3 linked regions of the Notamacropus eugenii genome follow. The protein of the gene in region 1 interacts with the protein of each later gene in a pairwise test. Links are inferred from orthologs where the notes say so. Each region holds a gene or a part of one and is shown in the gene's direction. Other genes may lie near its edges.

Region 1 (8,081 bases):
GAGTAAGTCTAATTTCCTTCTTCTAGAGGCTAGACATCCCTAGTTTTTCTAAGACTAGAACCCAAGTCAGTCAGTCTTTTCATCAGTGAATATTTATTAAGAGCTTCCTATGTGCCAGACACTGTGCTAAGCACTAGGGATACAAATGCAAAAACATGGTAGCTGTCGTCTAGAAGCTTCCATTTTAGTAGTCATCTGATATCAAATTCCCCATTCTTTCACTACATGATGAGTAAATGAATCATCAAAGAGCTCTATCTGCTCAAAGAACTTTGGTGCTATTTCTGTCTTTTAAACCTTTAAAATTTGTTCTGCATGCCTGGTTATTTAAGCTTTCCTCATTGACTTGTTTTTCCTTGTGTAGTTAGTTCGGTTGAACTCTTGAATGATTTTGGATATCATTTGAGAAGCTCTTTGGTGTGGGAGGCCTTGATGTGTAGTTTGATGGACAGCCCATGGAGTTGGTTCAGTCATATGTGTATGCAGATCGACCATGAAACAGGCCCAGAATTGAATAGGAAGAAGAGAATGGTCTGAATTTAGGAAAATGATGGAGTTTTCAACAATGTTTAAGCTGAAGGGCTTTGAAACAATATTTCTTCTTAGTAGCCTTAGTTAGTCAATAAATCAGTCTACAAATATTAAGTACCTACTATGTGCAGGCACAAAGACACAATGAAGGACACAGGCTCTATTCCCAAGAAGCTTACACCCTTGTTCTTCTGGAGATGTTCATTGTGAATTGTGGAATACTACAGACTTTCTAGAATAAAAATTATAGATCACACTAAGTTCAATAAGAAGATATGTGGTGGACAGAACAGATTTATGCAAATTGCATATAAGAATGATGTCATCCAAGAGATATATGTCTGGAGGAGGTAGATGGTTTTATAGCAAGAGTAAAAAAATAATAGATAGGGATGTTACGTGGGGCAGTGTCAAGAGATCATGAACAGGGATCCTATGTAGCTTCTGGGATGAATCCTGTGTGTTACAGGATGGGAATCACATAGGATGAACAGTCAAGAATGGATTTTATCTGAACTGTTGGATGGAGTAACTGTATTAATGTACCTGTATTAATGGAATATCTGTATTAATGAGATTATAGATCTACTGAAGTATTGAAGCATGCACAATTTCCACTAGCTCCACCATAATGCCTAATGAGTTAAGCAATTTGATGTGCAAAGTCTAACAGGGTATTGATGTTGGGCTTTCAGCGTGACCATAAAATAATAACTGGTTCATGATGAGATAACTATTTCAACTATTTAACAGACTCAGCATTGAACACACAACCTTCATGAGGGAAATGTCAATGTTGCAAGAGCTATTTTCTAATGTAGTCAAACATGGTGGAGAAGGGCTGTGTTTTACCTTATGGTTTCATTCTGTTCTCTTCATTCTGGATGGAAAATGCATGGAGGAAAAGGATGATTAGAAATGAGTTCAAAATTCTGTCAAGAAAAATATTCAAAGCAAATATCACTGATAAAGGTCTGATGTCAATGATATATAGAGAATTGATACAAATATAGAAAAACAAGAACCACTCTCTTACAGACACGTAGTAAAAAGATATCATCTTTTCAAAAGAAGAAAAGTAAACTATCAACAACTCTAAGAAAGAATGTTCTAGAATGCAAATAAGAAAAAAAAAGAATTGAAGCCACATAGATCTAACCTCATATCCATCAGACTGACAAAGATGAATCGAATTTTTGTTGGAAGGCTTGAGGGAAGATCATCATGCTAATGTTCCCTTGGTGAAACAATTCTTTAGCCAATGAATTTTTAGAGTAGGACACTGAGTCTAAGTGAGGTTAAATGATTTTTTAAGGTCATTCACTTGAATTCTTTGATTCTAAGACAGAAGAGACCATATATTACAGAACATACAGTGCAAGAATGGCAAGTACTTTATATCATAGAATATAATATCTTAGAATACTGTTCAAGTGTGTACAGAGCTGAACTTGGAGTCAGGAAGACCTGAATTCAACTAGCTTTGTGACCCTGGGAAAGTCCCTTAACCACTCTTAGATTCAGTTTCTTCAGTTTTAAAATGAGGATAATAATAGCACCTATTGATTGTTATGAATATTAAATGAGATAGCATATGTAAAGTGCTGTACATACCTTAAGGTACTATGTAAATTTTATTTTTATTATTTATGATTATGATATATACTTTCCACTCAGAGATGGAATAAATTTAATAACAGAGCCTAGATTGTTAGACCAGAAGGGCGACTTAGAGATCTCTTAGTCCTTCACATGGAAATTTCTGTAAGTACTTAATGAGTTCTAGAGAGACTGTGACTTGCCCAAGATCATATAGCCATTTAGTGATGTAACTGAGATTAGCCCCTTGGGGCACCTGATTTTTACCTCAGGGTACTTTTCCATATACAATGCTGCCTTTTAAAATTTTTTCATGAGAGAAGATTTTTACTCTTGAAATCCTGAATGGGATAAATCTCCATAAATCACTCTTTCGAAAAGGCAAATTGTAATGGTCACATTGTGTCCTGCTTCTTGGTGCTGGTATGAATATATTTCACTTACTACAGCATTATAGAGTTCTTCAAATATACTCTCCAATGATTAAATGATGGGAAATGTGGACTAGGGTTACTGAATGTAATTGAGAAAAATGACAAAGTGTGAGTGGCAGAAAAGACGAGGAAAAAAACCAACCATCTGCTAAATACAAGAAACATATATAAAAATAAAGACACATACAGAATGAAAATGAGAGGCTGGAATAAAATTTGCTATACATCAGATGATTCCCCCAAAGCATAAATTGTATAATCATACTATCATTTTAAAGAGGTAAGAAAATTCACAATGTCAAGAGAGATAAATACGGAAATCACATTATACTTAAAGGAATCACAGGTCATAAAACAGCATTAGTATTAAATATACATACACTCATTGGTATAGCATCTAAATTAAAGAAATATTATGTGAATTATGGGTGTGTATATATGTATATACATATATATTAGAATAATTGTAGGGGATTTTAAAGATACTCTCTTAGAGCTAGCTAAATCAACTGAATGTGAAAGAAAAAGGAAAATATAAAAAACCTGAACAAGTTTTTGGAGAAATTAGATTTGAAATATTATAGTACTTGCTGAATGGAAGCATTAAAGCATACACATAATTCTTAGCACTGTGTGACACCTCTTGACAAAGACAGACCACATGCTAGGGCATAGACAAATTATAAATAAATATCGAAAAAGAATATAAACACCTTGAGGGTAGAGACTGTTTCAGTCTTTGTATCTCCAGAACCAAGTACAGTGTCTGGCAGAGTGCCTAGCATACAATAGATGTTTAATAAATGCTTGTTTACTGGTGAAAAAGAATTAGAGGAGTTAAAGTTAGCTATGACTTAGCAACTCAGCGTTTTAGAATAACTCAGAAAACACCAAATATGTGAGTGAGTTAAATCAATGTGTCTACCTCCCCAGGAAATCCTAGTAAAAAAGAGTTCCCATAACCATGATTTACCAACTTTTTACTCTTCCCATTTTGTGTCACTATGACAAGGTTGGAGACTAATCACACAGTAAGGGGAAAAATGTAAGGGTTACCCCAAAAGCTAAGGAAAAGCTTTTCAAATCCAGTGTTTACTATTACTGAGTTTCTGAGTTGTTAATTACTGGAGATGGAGGATGAGCAAGACAGTGAACTAAAGAGAAGGACAATTGTCTCTCTTGGATTGTCACCAGGAAATTGTGTGATTCTTTTAAGATTTTTCCTGACGCAAAAGTCCATCTTTTTTTTTTTTAACATCAATATTCTTTTGATGAAATGGATAATTTCATAAGAAACTGGGCAGAACTTCACAGTTTCACTGATTCAGAAGAAAATAAGCTGATTTAGGAGAACATTTTGTTCAATGGAAGCAACTTTAAAGAGAGAAACAACTGCAAAAGACCCTGGAACTCAATTCTAAAAGAATGAAGATGAATTATGCCACTCACCTCTCTGTCTTCAGAGGTGGCTATTGTGTGAATTTATTTTGCTGGAATATGTAAATATTAAGAGATTTAAAAATATTTGCTAAATGGAGGAAGGTGATAGTGGAAAGGGCAGATGAACAAAAATATCATTTGAAAAATAAAATAATAAACTAAAAAAAGTAACACCCAGCATTAGCGTTCTTTCACCATCATCACAACTGGCCATGACTTTGAGTCTTGAATACCACAGTTTCAAAGAACTGAAGTAGTGCATAATCCAATGGAGGGCATGAGTAGGTTCTAACACATTGGAAGTATATTAGAAGCAGGATAAAAAATGTCATCAGAGAGAAATAGGACCTGTAATGTAGGTAAACAGGTCATGAACTAAGAGCAAGGGATAATATTGGGACAGCCTGCATGTTTCTTTGGTATCCATGCAATGTCAAGAGACCTGGAGGAGGACTTCTCCAACTTTGGAGGATTTCTGGGACGACATGCCCAAGAGTCAGGAATGATGACCAGGAATGAATGGGTTGTGACTGGCACCACCAGAGGCAGTAAGCATCTTGATCAGATCATAGACCCACTGAATACTGAAGCATTGATTTCAGAGGTTTTCAGTAACCAATGGCAGATCAGTAAATCCTTTCCCTCTCCTGGGCACCCTGACTGACTTCTACTAAAAGTCATTTGCAGTATAATTTACACTCTGATAGAATCTGGAGCCCTACAGTTAGCAGACCACTTTTACCTTTCATTCCTCTTGCATATCAGGTGGTACCTCCCTGTCTAATTGACTGTCCCAGAACTTTCAGCTTTCTGGCTTGCTGTGAAATGAAAACCCCCATCCAAAGTTCACCTCAGGCCTTGGATCACCATAAACACAGGGAGAGCCCTCTCCAGCACAACTTGCTGGCTTTGCATGTTTTCCATCGGCATATTGCTTTAAGAGGGCCCAACCCCCAAAGCAGCAGCCACTGTGTCCTGTCAGTCATCCTGAAATACACTAGGGTGCTTGTCGCCTGTTTGCCTACACATGCATCACAAGCCAAATTCTGAGCCCAGCGGTGGGGCCGAAGTTCCAAACATAAGCGATTGCTTAGGCAGCAGGCTTAGGAGCTGTCTGTGGCCAAGTAAGTGTTTGTGTCCTGGGGTCTGACCGGTTGGTGAGTGATGGCTGGGCTTGTCTCCACTTCTTTTGAAGTCTTAACTTTGAAAACACATTTTTTTTCCTCCTGTCAAGTAAACTCTCACCATTGTAGATTGTCTCTGAGCCGCACCTTTTGATGAAAGGTTCTGAGGAGAAAGAAAGGGAAATGGCATCTGTCAGGTAGCATGTAGTCATCTGCTGTGGTGTCTGGGCTTTTAGAGTGATCCCCTCTTCTGGGCAGTTCTGGGGGTAGTTCGGAGACACAAAATGCCAGCCTGGAGATTATGAGCCCCTCCATGCCATTTCTGCTGTGGTGGGCACATTTAGAGGGCTAGCATCAGTGCAGTTCAAATGTGGAGAATCTTTAGGAGAGATTTCTTTGAAGTGCTGAAAGAAAAACTTGTCCTATGCATATAGTGATAATAATCATAATAGTACAGAGAGATTACATTAAAATAATGCTTCAAAGTTTTCAAAACACTTTGTGTGCTTTATCTCATTCATCCAAACTATAGAGAAGCTGAACAGTAACATATTTGAAACATTTCCACTGTGACTCTGAAATATTATATTTTGAGTAGGTATAATTCTGGGAAGTAGTGTATTAGACCTGGATAATATAAGTAAGACACTTGGCAAAACTGAAAGTTCTGTATGTGTGTCAACTATTATTATACCCCTTAGTAATGTACTCCATGTTTCAAGATTCTATTGCAGACTTCTGGATTTGAAGTTATATGTGGATTTTTTTAAAAAGTTTTTTTCACCTAAATTTTTTTCCTCTTTATATTTTTAAATCAGGCAATATTGATTGTCAAGAATGAAAAAGGAGAAGTGAAAGAAGTTAGTGAATTCAATGCTTACATTTCCAATGTAGGTTGAATATAGTTCCCAGGCAACCAAGACTTGTCCATTTCCTCTTGTTCTGGTTACCTTTAAGTGGAATTCATAAAGGGGCTACATTTTTTGTCATGTAAATATCACTAGATACCTGCAACACCTAGACACACTGTGGAATAGAGGATAGAAGTTGGACTTGGGGACTTGGGTTTGAACCTTCTTTTGGGCTGGTTAACTTTGAAACCCTGGGCAAGTCACCTAATGTTTCAGTGCTTTAGACAGCTCACTGGGGCTTCTGTTCGTCCTAATTCATAGAGAAGATGCAGTCTGGATTGGTGGAGGGACTTTCCCAAGCAGCTGGAGTCACAGATCCTTCTTGAAAATGCGTGAAATTCTCTTTGACGCATTCAAATCATTTGGATGTCATTCTCAGTAAGTATGGTTAATCGTTGCATTAGTTATAAAGAGGAGGAGACTTTAGGGGCCTTAGAGATCAATCTAGTCCAATCCCCTTATTTTGCAAAGGAAGAGGAATCTTGAGAAGTTACAGAATTTGCACAAGGTCACACAGGTAAATATCATGACTCAGTTTCAAACTCATGGCTTCTGACTTTCAATCCAGTGCTCCTTCCATGACAAGGAACCACTACCAAGTTAAGGTTATAAGACAGGACTCAGTTACTTTCCACCTTGTGTTAGGGTCTATTCTTGGCCACCCAAGTAATGGTAAAGGTTATATAGAGGACAAAGTTCAAGGTTGGTACTTTGCAATTTTGTAAAAATGAACCATAAATTCTAGAATGATCATTTAATGATCATTTAGTCCAACCCTCTCATTTTGCGCAAAAGGAAACTCAGCTCTAGAGAGGGGAAGGTCCAGTTATCCTTTCCACATCTCAATTTTCCTTTCCCCATTTTGGTTTCGATATATCTTGGGTCAGCATAAAAAAACAGGAATCTTTTGGCAGTTTTTCAGAAGCTTCAGACAACACTCAAAGGCCAACAGATGACGTAGAAAAAATTTAGTAAGTTAAAAATGCATAAAATATCTGCATAGTATTGTATAATATCAACTCAAATTTTAAAATGAGATACTGTAAACACCCTAAAAAAGAAAAAGAGAAATTCAGACTTTTTCTCTGGTGCAAAAAAGGGAGGACCAAAAGTTTTTACACAGATTTTCCAGATCACAAGGGCACCATTCCTTTAACCCCAGAGATGTGAAAAGGATATTTGTTCAAGGTCCCTTGGAAACTTAGTAAATAGTTGGCAAACCCAATTCTTCTGTCTCCAAATTCGAGGCTCTGTTTTGCTATACCATGCTGAACTCATGCTGTATGAGAACTGGTTGAAAGAGCTGGCGTGTTTAAGCCTGGAAGAAAAAAAAGACTGGGTGTGACATGAAAATTATGTTGAAGGGCTGTCCCCTAGAAGATAAGATTTATTTTCATTGTTCCCTGAGGAAAGAATTAGGATTAGCGGATGGGAGTAGCAAAGAAGCATATTTAGGCTGGAGGACAGGGGACAGTTCCTAACAATGATAGCTGTGCTATCTGTGGAATGGGTTTCCTGAGGAGCTAGTGAGCTTCCCATCACTGGATGTCTCCAAGAGAAGGCTGGATGACTATACATTAGGGGGCCTGAAGAGGGGATTCTTCTGCTGGCACATGTTGGAATAGTTGACTTTTGGTCTCTCTTTTATCTCAGCTTCTGTGATTCTGAGACTGGATTCTTCAACAACTGAAAAATATTTAATGTTTAATTGATTACAGAAACAGCATGGAAAAAGCTCTCTTCAAAGTCGAGGTGAACGATCTTATCTAGTTCTCTAGTAGCTGATAAGTGAAAGGGGGAGGCTCTGGGGACAATCTTCTTCATGACTGACCATGAGTGAAGGAGAGAGTGAAGTTAAGATGAGAAAGAATAGGAAACTGACATTTCCACACAGTTTCCCTAGGAAAGCAATTTATTTGGTCACTTTGAAGGAAAAGAGGGAATCTTTTTCTTTGCTCAGATAAGCAGGACTTTTATTAGTTTCTAATGTATTTGTCAACTGGCCAGAGACAAAGCTGGGAAAGCAAATCTCTGGCTTGGAA
Region 2 (7,194 bases), on another chromosome or scaffold:
AATCACTTTAGGGAAGGGACAAGGTCTAAAGAGAGAATAGAAAAAATAGGGGGCAGGATAGGATGGAGGGGATTATAATTAGTCTTTCACAATATGATTATTATGGAAATCTTTAACAAAACTACACATATATAGCCTATATTGAATTGCTTGGCTTCTCAGTGGGGAGGGTGGGGAGGGAGGAAGGGAGAGAAGTTGGAACTCAAAGTTTAAGGAATGAATGTTGAGAATTGTTTTTGCATGCAACTGGGAAATAAGAAATACAGGCAATGGGGTATAGAAATCTATCTTGTCCTACAAGAAAAAAGAGAAGATGGGCATAAGGGAAGGGAGGGGTGTGATAGAAGGGAGAGCAGATTGGGGGAAGGGGTAGTCAGAATGCATGGTGTTTCGGGGTGGGGGAGAGGAGAGATGGGGAGAAAATTTGGAATTCAAAATCTTGTGGAAATGAATGTTGAAAACTAAAAATAAATACATTTTTAAAAATAAAAAAATTTTTTAAAAGATTAAACTTCACTTTTCAGGATGTTATTCTTGCTTTCTAGTCCTATTTTTTTTCTTCTTTTTTGGAATATTATATTCCAGCATCTCCTTGCATTTATGGTAAAAGCTGCCAGGTCTTGTATCATCTTGACTGTAGGACACAAGCAACTTTTTTCTGGATTTCTTGTCGTCTTTTTTCTTTGACACAAGGACTTTTTGGATTTGGGCTACAATAGTCCTGGGACTTTTTCTTTAGTTGGATTCTTTCTATCTATAATATACCCACTTTTTAAAAAATAGATGAGAACTAATAGAACAAAAAGGCAGTTTCCATTTATAAATTTATTTGTTTGTTTATGAATTACCTCTCCTTGACCTGTTTTCCAGGTTACTTGTGTTTTTTATAACAGATATCTTACATTTTATTCTATTTTTAAAATCTTTTGATATAATCCTGGAGTCATTAATTTCTTTTTGGTCTAGTCTAGTTTTCATTCCACTCTATTTCTTGGGTCATATTTTTACTTTCTGTTCTAAGTCATTTTTTCTTCCATTTCTTTATTTAAACATTCTAATTTCATTTTGTATTTCATTTTATTTTTATCTCGGTATTCATATTGGTATTGGAAAAAAAATCCATTTTTTCTCTTTAAGTCTCTGCTTGTAGTTGTTATAAAGTCACTCCTTTGGAGGGAAGGTCTCCAGATCTAAAATACTTTTTAAAAAATCTTGGTCAGTTTTTTCTTTGCTTCTTATCTCTCTGGCTTTAGTTCCAGAGCCAGACTCCATCCCCTGCTGGGCCTTTGGGAGGGGTGCTCAGCCCTAGATGGTCCCCTGGTTTTTGGGCTTATCTTCTACCTCTTAGATCTTCAGGGCCCTCCCCATCTCAGCACAGCATTAGGAATCTCAGAGCCCCTGGGTTTGAGGTATCCCATCTGAGTGCTATGATACCACACTGATTGCTGCCTCCTCCTGATTCCCTGGGCTTCCAAAGTCCCCACTCATTGGCTTTCTTTGGAGAGTCTTTTGTTCTTGATGCCCTCAAACACAAAACCTTACAGGCTTCATGTGTTCCTGGACCATCTCTCATTGCACTGGGAAGATACCCACAGGCTGGTGGCTCAGTGGATAGAGTATCAGGCCTAGCCGATTCTAACCCTAACCCTAAATACACTCTGATTCTAACCCTAAATCAGAAAGACCTGCATGCTAGTTGTGTGACCATGGGCAAGTCACTTAACTTCTGTCTGCCTCAGTTTCCTCAACTATAAAATGGAGAGACTACCACAGCTCCCAGGGTGGTTGTAAGGACCAAATGAGATATTTATCAAGCACTTAGCACATTGCCTGGCCCATAGTAGGCACTTTACAGGTGCAGACTCCCTTCCCTGCCCAACATTGCCAGTGGCAGCCCCTTCAGGTGGACTGCGGCCATGTTGGACTGGAAGAAGTCACCCACTGCAGTTTTCAGTGGATTTCTTGGTCCCTCTTTGGTGTGATCTGGTGACAGCTGCAAGGTTTGGCAGATGTAAGTGCTGAGCAGTCCACCCAGACAGCCATCTTACCCAAAGCCAACTGTCTAGTGTCTGCCTCCACAAGAGATTGACAGATTCTTTGCTGAAATCCTGGCAGAGTGGATCCCCAGCATCTCTGTGCTGCACTACCAGTCTGGTAAGCTTGTCCCAAAGGAAATGTGGTTCCTCCAGCAGGACCTGTTCTTACTGAAGCCTGCTGCCATAGCCTGCCTTGCTATCAGCCACTGCTGCCCTTTCCAAATGTCAAAAGCAGCTCTTTCCCGACATCCTAGATCAACACTGGAGAGTGAGTCTTTTCTGCCCTTTGGAAGATCAGGAGGTTAGCCTTCCGGCAATTCTGCTCAGGGTGTCCATAATCCAACCCTATTGCTGCCTCTCCACTGCTGCAGCCCCTGCCCCTTCCCAACCTGCACCTACATCTCCCTTTCTGTACCTCATCTGCCCATGGGGCTCTGAGCTCCAGCTGCCCAGGCTGGAGGCTGAGAATGTATGAGGTGTCCTGAATCAGATTCCAGGGAAGGTCTCCCACTATCCTCCCTCCCCTCACTCAGCCCCAGGCCCCAGGTTTCCTGGATTCTCTGGGTGGGAGGAGACCCAACCCAGTGCCTGCAGGAACCACCCAATGGAGGTTGGCAAGATGCAGATGGTGCCAGGAGGGCCTGCTGGTGCCAGGCTGTGGTTCTCCCAGAGAGCTACAGCTCCGTACAAACTTGTCTCCAAGACTTTTTTCCACCAGAAATACAAAGTCTCTGATGGAAGCAACTGGGTGGATCAGCGAGAAAGGGGAAGGCAAAGGGCGTTGCCCAGGCTGCAGGATCCACCTGGTCCCACCCCGATCCCCCCACAATCCAAGCAACAAGAGAGACCTGGATCCCAGGCTGGGGCTAGTCCAGGAGAGGAGCTGAAGGACTTTGATTCTCCCTACCCCAAGGATGGACAAAGAGATGAGCAGATTTTGCAAGATGGACAAGGTAGGTTTCTGCTTCCTCCAACTCACTGCTGACCTTCCCCCCGCTTACTTACCCCCATCTTTTCCCCCATTCCCCTCTGGCTTAAGGTGGGGGTGTATCAGGGCTGGGAGTGGGGCAGGTCATCTCTCTGGAGGATCAGTGTGTGCCCAGGGTCACTGGCAGAGAGCCTGATAATAGGACCACAGGTTGGTTAGGAGAGTGACTGACAGGGATGGGGGGTTCTCCATAGTGGATGGCGCTGAAGATTTTAATGTCTGGCTAGACTGCCAAGTGATCCAAGGCCACCCCAGGGGCACTTAAGCTGGGACTGGGAGATTCTCTGGGAGGGAAGATTGAAAGGGCCATCCAAGCAGTGGGACCAGAAGTCAGGGAGACTGCTGGAGGGCCATTTCCCCTCGTCTCAGTCTCATGTTCCTCATACTTGCAAGGGGGCAGTTCTTTACTTGACTTCCTCCAGCTCTCCTCATGCCAACCCTGGGAGGTAGGTCCAGCAGGTAGTGTTGACCCCTTTTGACAGAGAAGGAAACTGAGACTGAAAGATGAAGCTATTGAGTATCTGAGCCCAGCAGCTGTGGGCTTCTTGGACTGACTGAGCCTCAGAGCATAGATTGACCTGTAATTCCAGGTTCTCAGGGAGTGGTCAGGGAGGCATGACCCCCCAAATGGGAAGGGGCAGCCCTAATGTATTTCTGGTGCCTGAAATGCTAGGTCCCAGAGGCCTGGGCTCCACCCGCCCCACCCCTACTAGTGTGGACTTGTGTTCTGCTGGTCGTCCTGAGTCACCAGCCTGCTCCTCCCATCCTATGCCCACGTCACACTCAGGAGCAGCAGCGCTGGCACCAGCCCAGTTTGGAGGTGGGGCATGGGTTTGAGTGGAGAGGCCTCTTGGATCAGAATTCCAGAGCCCCCCAAGCTTGCCCAGGCCTGTCTCCCTCTCATCTCTTTCTCTCCCTCCCTTCCTCTCTCTCTCTCTCTCTCTCTCTCTCTCTCTCTCTCTCTCTCTCTCTTTCTCTGTCCCTCTTTCTCTCTCTCTCTCTCTCTCTCTCTCTCTCTCTCTCTCTCTCTCTCTCTCTCTCTCTCTCTCTCTCTCTCTCTCTCTCACACACACACACACACACACATCACTAAGCCAGGAGTGGCTGAACTGGAGGACTAAACTTGGGCCCCAGGAGGGAGCATGCCCCTCATCTCCCCTGGACCTTGGGTGTCTAGATGCCCCAAACAGCAGTCATCTTCCATCGAGGCTCAGCTCCCAAAGAGAACCTTGGAGGAGGGTGTCTGAATAACTAAAAAGCTCCCCAAATTGTTAGACTAGACGGAGAGTAAGAGAGAAAATGGGAATGTGATTGATGAAAATAAGGGATGAAATGAACCCCACAACTCCCACCATAAGAGGCTAACCTTAGCCCTCTAGATAACTCCAACCTAACCTTAGTCCAGAGTGAACTCATCCTTTCTTCCATCCAAGAATGACCCAGAAGAGTCTTTGGACACTCAGCCCCACCTCCTGGCCTGGCCTCCCATTAAGCCCACCATTTCTTGAGGTGTCCAAAAAGGGGGAAAGAGGTGACTGACCTCCATAGATTTGGCCCCAGGCCCATCTCCTGCCTAGCAGCGGCACAGCTGGAGAGATGCCAGGCTACTCTGGGCCAACAGATGAGCCCTCGGGAAAGCGTTGGGTAAATAGAGAGTTAGTAGTAGGCCAGCCTCAGTCAGCACCCTTCCCACCACCCCCAAGAGCAACATCTATAATAACTGGTTACCTCCCATCCTGCCCTGTCCGGTCCCAGTAGCGTCCCAGCCCAGCCCCTGCTCTGGGACCTCCCCTGGCCTCCAATCTCCACAGCCTTTCAGGATGGAGGGTAGAGGGAGGAGGAGGCTCAGGGGTAGGGTCACTAGGGCCTGAGGGCTGGGTAGGGCCTATTCCTTCCCCAGGAATTCCACCTTAAGGAGTCTGGTGGCTCCTCCCTCCCCGGCCTACCCCCAGGTATCCCCGCCCTCAGGTGAGCTCAGGCCTGGGCGGGGTCGGCCGTCTCTCTCTGGGCGCGGCTGGCTGGCTGGCAGGAACAGCTCGGAACTGAGCTGACTGACCGACCCACTGGCCCAGGACCGGGCTGAGGGTGATGCAGGGCAGGGAGGTCCGGCCAGAGCTCAAGCTCTGCTGAGCTCCAGACCCAGTCCCAGTCTGAAGCCCCAGCTGGTCCTGCCACCATGCAAGACAGTAATTTCCTGCTTTCTGCCCTGCAGCCCGAGGCAGGAGTCTGCTCCCTAGCCTTGCCCTCAGACCTGCAGCTGGACCAGAAGAACAAGGAGGCCTTGGAGGCAGAGAGGGAGCGGCTGAAGGTGGCCCGGGTGCAGGAACAGGTCCGAGCCAGGATGCTCCAGCTCGGTCAGCCTTCGAGGATCAACGGCTCCCTGGCCGGTCCCCTGATGGATTCTGCAACCAGTACAGGCCTAGACAGCCCCAGAGGTACCGACTGACCAGGATGAGGAGGGGGGGTCTCTTGGGCCAGGTCTGAGGGGCTGCAGGGAGGCAGAGGGGGAGCCACAGGCTGCCAGTCACAGGAGAGGCAGGGTAACTGCTGTTCTAGGGCGTGGGAGGGTGGAAGGGCAGGAGGCCCAAGGCCGTGCCCAGACTCCAGGCCCATTCTCTGACTCACTAGGAAGCCTTGGACTGACTCAGTCTGGGGATCCCTGGCCCCACCCAGAGGGGGATGAAAAGGAGCTCCTGGGGGTCCTCAAGACACACAGGAGGCTCCAGCCCAGGGGTCTGGTTGAAGGGAAGGGGGACAGTGTCAGGGCTAGTTCTGGGGAAGGAAAGGAGTCCAGATGTTGGCTCTCTCAAAACCGTGGGTTCCTCTGGTGGAGTTTCCCCAGAGGAATCCCCAGTCAGATTCTAGTCGGGGAACAGTTTTGGAGAGGGTGACACTTGTGGGAGAGGCTAACATCCTCTCCAGCTCTCTGAGTTAAGCTGGGGTTCCCTCACTTTCTGATCTCACCTGCTTCCTTCACTGTTCCACTGGGGCACAAAGAAATTCATAGTCCCACCCAGAGACAAATCAAGAAGCCCCAGCCCCTCAGGACCCCTCCCAGGGGTTGGGAAAGTCACCCCATCAGGGACCTTAAACCCTTTGGCTCTCCATGGAACCTTATTTGGGAAAAGGAGGGATCCAGGTGGCATGCCTCTACTAGAAAAACCTGCATACAGGTTGGAGCCTGCTGGAGGGCAGCTGGCCCACTGAAAAGCCAGAGGGATGGACAATAGGACCTATCAGGACCCTGGAGAACCAGAACATGAGGCAGAGTGGGCCTCAAGCCCTCAGAGGCTTCCACAGAGTGGAAGTTCACCTACTGGAGGGTGGGGGTGGGGTGGGCAGGAAGGAGGCAGCCAAATATGGGCACTAATTACAGCTTGTAAAAAGCATCAGAGATGGCTACTCATGGCCAGCCCTGACAATTAGGAGGATGATTATAATTTGGGGGAGTGGGGTTTGCAGGGAGCCCAAAGATGGGGGTGTGTACCCCACTGGCGGAGCCTCCCTGGCGTCAAGGGGTTAATCTCCCCACCCATGAAGCCTCATTAAACTGGGCTGGCAAGGGGACCTGGGGGATGGAAAGGCCTATGTGGGTGAGGAAGGGGTGTGTTTGCCCCTGGGGGTGGTTGATCTGTCTCTGACCAGGCAATGTACAGGGGGGCTGGGCCAAAGGCATCTGAAGAGCTGGCTGGAGGGGATCCCTCAATGAGGAAGCTTCCCCAGTGACCTTGGCCCCCTTGGGGACTCTGACAATTCCTCCTCTTTGCCAGTTAGGATAGGAACCAGCCAGCCCAGCTCCTGTCCCAGTCCCCTTAAATGCTGCCCTTGGCTCTCCTGGGGCCTTAGCCCCCCAGATGAAAGAGCTGAGGAAGCAGTCCTTTGTGGCATCTGCACTTTCCTCCTGCCTACCAGCCCCTCACCAGGCATGCCAAGGGCCCCCCCTTCCTACTCCAGCCTCTCTGCACCAGTGTGTGTCATGATGTAGGCCAGAGCACCTACCCCTGCCTTTCCCTGCCTGGTCCCACTGTCTTACCCACTCACCTGCCCTCTGGCCTCTTGTGGTCACCTCACTTGCTCCTTACCCCCCCCCCTCCTTCGTGGCACACATTAAGCCCTGGTGCAATGTTTATTCTTCCCCCCACCCTCATCGGGCACCTCAGGACAAAAACA
Region 3 (7,628 bases), on another chromosome or scaffold:
GGTGGTGGTGGTTTAGATGTCTTGTTGCTTCACTGATCTCTCCAGCCTGGGGTAGAGTCATCTGTGCTGATTACAGAGAGCATAGGATGGAAGTGGTTATTGATTTACAATGGAGTCCCTGGAGGAAGCAGAAAAAGGCAGGAAAAGTCTCCATAGCCTCCCTTCCCCCCAACTCTGGCTTTTCTTCAAAGAGCAAATTTTTTCAGAGGTCTCAACTAAGTCACCTCACTGCAATGACAACAGCAGCCTGAATTGATTTTAGGCTTTATCGTTTGCAAAGTAATCTTCTCACAACAATACTATGAGCTGGTATTATTAGCGTTTATTGTGACCAAGTATAATTAGCTCTGTTTTACACATAAGGAAACTGAGGCTGTGCATTACCATAATCATGGGGCTCATCTGTAGCAGAGCCTGAACCCAGAATTTTGGCTTCAAGTCTAAAACTCTTTCCACTTTTCTGCACAGACGCTTAGATCTCATATCAGCACTGAAATAATTTTCCACACCTTAGCTTGAATCTTGTAGTCAGAATCATGAGCAGGCTATTCTGACATGGGGGAGTGTCAAGACCACTGGGAGAGAAAGAGGCCCGAGTTCTAATCCTTGTTCCATGTCTGATGAGCTTAAATAGATCCCATCTTGTCGGTAGACCATTTTTCCTGTACTTTATATTTCTTTGTATCCCCAGCACTTAGCATAGTACCTAGGAGGTGATTAATAAGTGTCTGCTGACTGACTGTAAAATGAAGAGAATTAGCTGATGCTGTGATTCTTCCTTGAGAGTCTCTGGAAGCCCCTGACTTTGGGGTTGGAGGATAGGGGTGGAATGCTGAATCTCCTCCCCACTTGGAACATCAATGTATATATGGAGGGATGTGGGGAGGCAAGCAAATGGATGTCAACTGGTAGTATGGGTGCATGTTAGGACAGGCCTCTTCCCTTGCCTTGCCCAGCTCTGGGTTCTGGTGGGAAGGTGGGGCAGGTGGGATGGGTGGGGCAACTGCTGTGTCAGCTAGAAGAGTCAGAGAAGAAGCAAGTTTAAGAAGCTTGTGTTGTCTCCTCCAGCTCCCCGCTACATTTCCCTTCCCCCTCCCACTATGAGAACCACCTAGGTGTGTCAAAGGATTTCCAGAAACTTCGGGGGGGGGGGGGGGGGGGGAGATCCTAGGATAACAAAGCTTTACATATTGAAGCAGCCTTGGGGGAGAGAAATTTGGTCCTGAACTCCTGAGTGAGTTTTCCCCAACAAGAGACTTCTGGGGATTTTGTGTTAAAAATATAACGAGAACAGCTCAGGCTACCTGGGATGTGTGTTGAGCACAAACATTCTCTGGGATTTCATAACCGTATTCATGAACCTTCCAGATCCATCCCCTCCCCTGAGCCTGTATCTTCCTTTTCTCCCTCCCTTCCCCCTTCCTTCTTTGTCTCTGTTTCTGTGTCTTTCTGCTTTCCCTCTGACATTCCATTTCCACCTACATTTTTCACAGTGAAGTGTTTCTGGAGCCACATCAGTAATTAAGTACCCTCCCCAGTATGGGTCAGACACACCTCACCTACAGTGTCAAGCCACTGGGCAGTGAGACCTAGAGCTTCTCTCACACCTCCCCCCATCCACCCCATCTCTTCAGGCTACTGAGCACAAATCTCTTCTGGCTCTAAACAAGAGGGCTTGGTTGCTTAGGAAATCATCTCTCCCCACTTCTGCATCATATATCCCCCTTCCTAGCCCATAATGGTATCTCTGCTGAGGTATAAACCCTTACAGAAGCTTCAGGTTTCTCTCACTTACCCCTTATTCTGGTATCTTTCACCATGACCATCTGGGAAGTCCTTAGTTATCTAACCCTGTTTCTTGTGATAGACATTTACTATGTGGTTAATCAGGAACTAGCCTGATTCAACAATCCAAGGTCAGGGGTCACCAGACTAATCTCCCCTGGATACTTTTTTATTCTGACCACTCTTTAAGCCTGACCTGAGTTAGAGGGAAATGAAGTGTGTGTGTGTGTGTGTGTGTGTGCGTGCGTGCGTGCGTGTATGTGAATATACATATGCCTGTCTGTGAGTATCTTTCCTTGAGTCTGTGTATGGTATAGAGCTTCATGTCTATCCATATGTTTCCCAGTGTGGGTCTTGACTATTGATTTCTGTGCAGATGGGAATGTGAGTATAACTGTGTATGGGTCTCTATGCCTATGAATGTACAAGGTATGTGTGTATTTAAGTGTGGGTGGGTGGAGTGGAGAGGGGGTTCAAATAGCAAGAGAAAGCTTCAGCACCTTATATGGCCAGAGGCCTCAAATGAAGAGGAGGGGAAGGGGGAAGATAAGAATGAGAAGGGGAGCCTATTCCTTTTCTGGTATAATGGCTGCTAGTCAGGAGATCTCCCTCTCTTACTTCCACAGAAGCTCACTGTCTCCAGACAGTACCTCTACCTGCTCCCCTTCCCCCATACTACTTCCAGTCACTCTTTGGGCACCTCCATTTTCCAGTTACTTTTGTCCCCTGGGGGGCTGACTCCTTTTTATGAGTTAGAGTGAGATGGGAAACCCTTTCCCCCACTAAAAGTTGTAGCCCTAGAAAGCTGAAGTGAGCAGGGGAAGTGAATCCATCCTTTGAAGGCTAATGTCTCAGCAGCCACAGAAGTCTGGACAAGAGGAAATGGATTTAAACCACAGCGAGTGAATTTAGGTTCAAAACAAAACAAAACAAAGCAAAAACTTTCCACATGTTACTAGCACAATTGCACTTTTTCCGAAAGGACTTTGAGAATTTTTTTTCCTCAGAAGGAAAATTCCCTGACTGCTTGGTTTAGAAGCACAGAAATGGATGGCTTGACTGTCTCATCTTTCCCAAGCTCAGTTTGTGTCAAGAGAGAAAGAGAAAAAAAATGTCACTCTTGAAAATCGTTTAACTTCACCATGTTGACAGAAAAATAATCATGATCTCCAAGCTTCTAACAACAACACAAAACAATAAAAGAAATGTGACTTGGGGGATGTAGGAGAGGGGCAAGGTTTCTATAGGAGGAATAGGGAAAAGAGGTCCCTCTTAGTCCAGCTTCTGGGTCTTCTCTTGGCAATCTTTGCTTCTATTTCCATCCATAGTAACACCCTATACTTTTTAGTAAGGAACTGACAAGCTGGGACATGATGTTGGGTGAGACACCCTTGATTTATTGTTGGGGAGAAAGGCACACAATACTGTGTTCTATTCACTCCATTCAGAGATGTTATGTTTTTCTCTCTTGTTCCTGATACCTTTCACCTTCCCCTGCTCCCCACTCTCTGACCAAGTCTGTCCAGTCCTCTCCTTCTTATTGGGTGGGTCATATGAAACAGAGGTAGCCCAAGTAGGAGTGTGGGTGAAAACCAGGACACAGAGTGGGTGTTGGCCTTCAGGAAGGGAAACCCAAGCAACAATGGGGAAAAAAGCCCTTGTCCCCAACCAGAAAAAGTTTATAATTTGGCTGAAGTGCAGAGAGACTGGGTGGGTGAAAGCAATGTAGAGATGAAAATACCCAGAGAGGGAGCCACACAGGCTGAGGGGGAGGGTCCAGGACAGCAGGGCAAAGAGCATTTGGAAGGCTGAAGTGCTTGGCACTGTTGCAAAATCTTTCCTGCCTTCACCCACCTATTATCTCCTCCAGGAAGGGGGTAGGATGTTTGGTTATCAGCTGTTGGGCTGGGTTGGAAGGGACCACTGTGCCTGACATAGGATGCTGAACCCATTGTGAGCCCTTCTAAAAACATCCATTCAATAAATGGCCAGAAAAGAAAAGGCCATGTTTTACTCTCCGGGATCTTAGGATCACCGTGGCGTTCTCTCTCTCTCTCTCTCTCTCTCTCTCTCTCTCTCTCTCTCTCTCTCTCTCTCTCGCCTGCTGCCTGGTTTTCTTTAGCTTCGTAGACTTGTTTCTTCAAAGTCTTCTTTCCACCTTCACCCCATAGGTGGCTTTTCTTGGACTGTTGAGTTTGCATTCAAATCCTCTTTTCACTCAGTCCGAGGTCTTTGCCACCTGATGCTTACTTTTTTGGCCGCGGTGAATAATCCCCTTAAGGGAATTATTTCTTGATGCTGAGTTGGTTAGGCGTCTACACAGACGCGCTGCTTTCCTTCCCTACAGCCTCTCCCCTGACTCACCTGGTAGGACAGGTATGGGGGGAAAGGTGGGAGTAGGTTCTACCTGGTGGAGAGCGTGGGTGGGGCAAGACACACCCCAACCACTCCATTGGTTTCTCCCCGAGGCTTACTGACAGCACCTCACCCATTCACGAGGCAGTATTCCTTCTCTATCCAATAGACGCGGAATTGGGATCGGACCTCGGGCTGGGGTCTGGCCCTAGAGCCGACTGGCAGGGCACGAGGCCAATGGAGAGGCGGTAAACATAGGCAGTCGGGGCGGGGCGGATTCGCAGCTGGGCCCCGCCCCCCAGGGAGACGGGCAGGCCTCGGGACCAGTGACAACGCGGCAGCGGGTGGGCGTCGCCCCGGGGGCGGGGCTCCGAAGGGGAGCCCGAGGCGTGGCTTGGCTGTCAGGTCTCTTCGCCTTTTGTTCGTTTAGGGAGTTGCAGCCGCGGCCAGAGTCCGTAGCAGCCACCGCCCGAGCGGAGCAGATCCTCCGATCCAAACCCAGCCCAGCCCTAGTCCTGCCCGCTGCCCCGAGCCCAAGCCCCAGCCCGGACCCTGGCTACGAGCTCAGGTGAGGGACGCGTGTGGCTGGGACTGGGGCTGGGGGCGACCGTGACTCCGCGCGCGCTCGGGTGCGTGGGGTGGGGGCACCTTGAGGGGCGGGTCCGTGCAGGTGACATTTAGAGGAGGAGAGGAAGGGGGCGCCAATGGGAGGGGGGTTGAGGGAGCTTTGCCCGACTGGGCGGTGGGAGCAAGCGCCTACTTAGAGGGAGTGGAGAGGACGGTCGCTTTTGGAGCATTTGAGGTCTGGGATTGGTGGGTGAGTGGGTAGGGGACAGAAAGGCAATCGGGGTCGCGAGATTTTGCTTGGGGCGGGGGTGTGTGGTGGGTCAGGCTGGCCACTCCGAAGGGGGAGTGGGTTAGTGGAGGACTGAACTGGGTGGGGCTGGAAATGTGGAGCAAGAGATTGAGAGGAGGGTGAGTTTGGAGAGGGTGGATCTCTGTGGTCCTTTTTAAGGAGGGGTGGTGGGCAGCGGGGGCTTGGGAAGGGCTTTGGCTTCGTCCTGGAAAAGTCTGCTGGAGGGAGTGGGAATTGAAGGAGGGGTACGGTGGAGGGGAGGGTCAGGTACGGATACAGCACTGACCTCCCTGGCAGTGGCCTTAGTGGACTGGGATTGAGGGGGAGACTTTGACCTCATTTCGCGTGGTGAGTACATAGAGCATTTTCTCTCCCTCTGTCCAGCTGGGAATTTATAGTTAAGGAAACTTGCAGCTGGGCTGCACTCCCCGTCACCCCCTCAGTCTGCCTCCCCACCAAGCGTCATTCCTGCCCTCCTCTTCCACCCCCACCTCCCCAGGCCTGGGTGGGGCCCTATTGTCTGGGTCCAGTTTTCCGAGCTGTGGGGTCAGTATTCTTGCATTGGAGGCGGGATCTCCCCATTCCTGGTTTGCTGAGCAGGTGAATTTGGTGTTAGGCATAAATTTGGCACTGGGCATTAAACGGATCCCGGGTCCCAGGGAGTTAACATCAAAGTCCTAGATTTTCTTCTCTCTAATATGTGTTCAGGTTGCCGGGAGAAGAGGGTAGCTTATCTTGTTTTAGGGTATCTGACTTATTGTTGAGACTTGGAGAGGGCTTCAGAGAGGAGATGGTTTAATGAAAGGTCAGAAAGCTGCGGGATGGGGAATGGGGACCAGGAGAGCAGGAAGTTACTGCTAGTGTGTTCTTGCTGTGCTGTCATCTGACATGTATAGCTTAGAGACTCTGAGGACCATTTAGAGAACACCTGGTTCAAATACCTCATTTCACAGACTCTTATAACTAGTTATGGAAGGTTTATATGGGCCTCTGTTTGCCTTAGTTTCCTTAAATGTATATTGGGAATAGCACTTGCCTCGAATGGTTGTGAGGAATAAATGAAATATTTGCCAAGTGCCTAGCACAATGGTTGGCACACAGTAGGTGCTATATACATGTTTATTCCAACCCTCACCTGTCTTGCCCTTTGTCCTTTTTTTCCTTCCCTCCTGACCTTCGTCCCATCTTTTGGAAAGTTCATCTAGCAAGAAACTTTCTTGCTGTTCAGTCCTGTCTGACTCTTTCATGATCCCATTTGGGGTTTTCTTGGCAAAGATACTGCAGTGATTTGTCATTTAATTGTCCAGCTCATTTTACAAATTAGGAATATGAGGCAAACAAGATTAAGTGACTTGCCCAGGGTCACACAGCTAGTAAATGTCAGAGACTGAATTTGGGCTCAGCCTTTTGAGTCCAGATCCAGGGCTTCATCCATTGTGCCACCTAGCTTGCCCAATAAACTTTCTAGGGGGAATCACAGAGTCATAGATCTAGAGCCAAAGGACCTTCTGGGCCATGAAGTTCAGCTCCCTCCTCCTCAAGACCATCTTAACTCTGGACAGACCTCAGAATAGAGAGCTCAGAGTTGATCCTTTCTGATCTTATCCTTTCTCCTCCCCACTTCCATTCTGTTTACTAATCCCGTGGAGATAGAGGGAGCCCACTTGCACTTTTTTTCCATATCTAGGGGCGCCCCTGGTACCCCTCACCTCTCTTTCTTCCCTATTTCAGGCAAAGCCTTTGTAACCTTCTCCTGCAGCCACTACCCTCAGCCCAGAGTAGGAGATTGAGCTAGGAAAAAAATCCATGTGGGAGATGCCAATTATCTTATATTCTTACCCTGCCTTTTACCCTTTCTCATTCCCTGGTTTAATTATCTACCTCTTAATTGAGGAGGAAGCTAGCAGCAAGCAATAGGACTTGATTTCCACTTGATTACCAAATTATGAAGTTTGCTGAGGCGTGACTACTGCAGATCAGGTTGGGATCCGGGTCTTTTGAGGTACTCCTTGAACAAATCATAGGGTCAGAGGATTTTTACAGCTGGAAGGGCTTTCATCTAGCGTGGGTAGGGTTGGGTAGTCTGGTCCACGCTGGAGAAATGGTTGAAAGTTTCATGACTCCTTGGGTCTTGACCAAGAAATATAGCTCACATTTATATATTGTTTTCAGGTTGACAAAGCACTCTTCTCAATATGACCCTGCCAAGCAGGTAATGAGTGCCAATACTATTATCCCCATTTTAGAGATGAGAAAATGGAGGCTGGGACACGTAAAAGTGGCTGGCCCAGGGTCACATAGCTAGAAGGCAGTTCTGGAGGAGGAGAAAGAGGGTTGGATTTGGGTGTGCCTGAGTCTGAATCCCAGCTCTGCTGCCTATTATATACTTGGTTCACTGTTTGGCAGATCGTTTCAATTCCCCTAGTCTCAGTTTCCTCACCTAGGAAAAAAAAAGAGGATTTTGGACTAGAAGATTTCTAAGATACCTTCTAACCCTAAATACTCATAATCCTTTGTCAGAGATGAGATTTGGACTGAGGTCTTCTGACTACATATATCAGCACTTGTCTACCATATTGCCTCTGAGATTTTGTTTCCTCTTTTCCCTTCCCATACCTCCCTTTATTCTTGT

What was found.
Region 2: the proteins of CTNNA3 (region 1) and PKP3 interact in a two-hybrid assay, tested with the Homo sapiens proteins (2 studies listed by IntAct). The link is inferred for Notamacropus eugenii from reciprocal best matches to the Homo sapiens genes CTNNA3 and PKP3.
Region 3: the proteins of CTNNA3 (region 1) and JUP interact in binary tests that used the Homo sapiens proteins (3 or more experiments, as listed by UniProt). The link is inferred for Notamacropus eugenii from reciprocal best matches to the Homo sapiens genes CTNNA3 and JUP.

Annotation. Positions count from the first base shown.
Region 1 is NC_092872.1:261,306,836-261,314,916, forward strand, and holds the start of CTNNA3 (catenin alpha-3), read left to right. Parts: upstream 1-5,031; coding exon 5,032-5,128; intron 5,129-8,081. UniProt on the Homo sapiens protein: May be involved in formation of stretch-resistant cell-cell adhesion complexes.
Region 2 is NC_092873.1:27,985,382-27,992,575, reverse strand, and holds the start of PKP3 (plakophilin-3), read left to right. Parts: upstream 1-4,149; 5' UTR 4,150-4,620; coding exon 4,621-4,668; intron 4,669-5,091; exon of another isoform or gene 5,092-5,109; intron 5,110-5,236; coding exon 5,237-5,459; intron 5,460-7,194. UniProt on the Homo sapiens protein: A component of desmosome cell-cell junctions which are required for positive regulation of cellular adhesion. Required for the localization of DSG2, DSP and PKP2 to mature desmosome junctions.
Region 3 is NC_092873.1:358,227,331-358,234,958, reverse strand, and holds the start of JUP (junction plakoglobin), read left to right. Parts: upstream 1-4,545; 5' UTR 4,546-4,708; intron 4,709-7,628. UniProt on the Homo sapiens protein: Common junctional plaque protein. The membrane-associated plaques are architectural elements in an important strategic position to influence the arrangement and function of both the cytoskeleton and the cells within the tissue.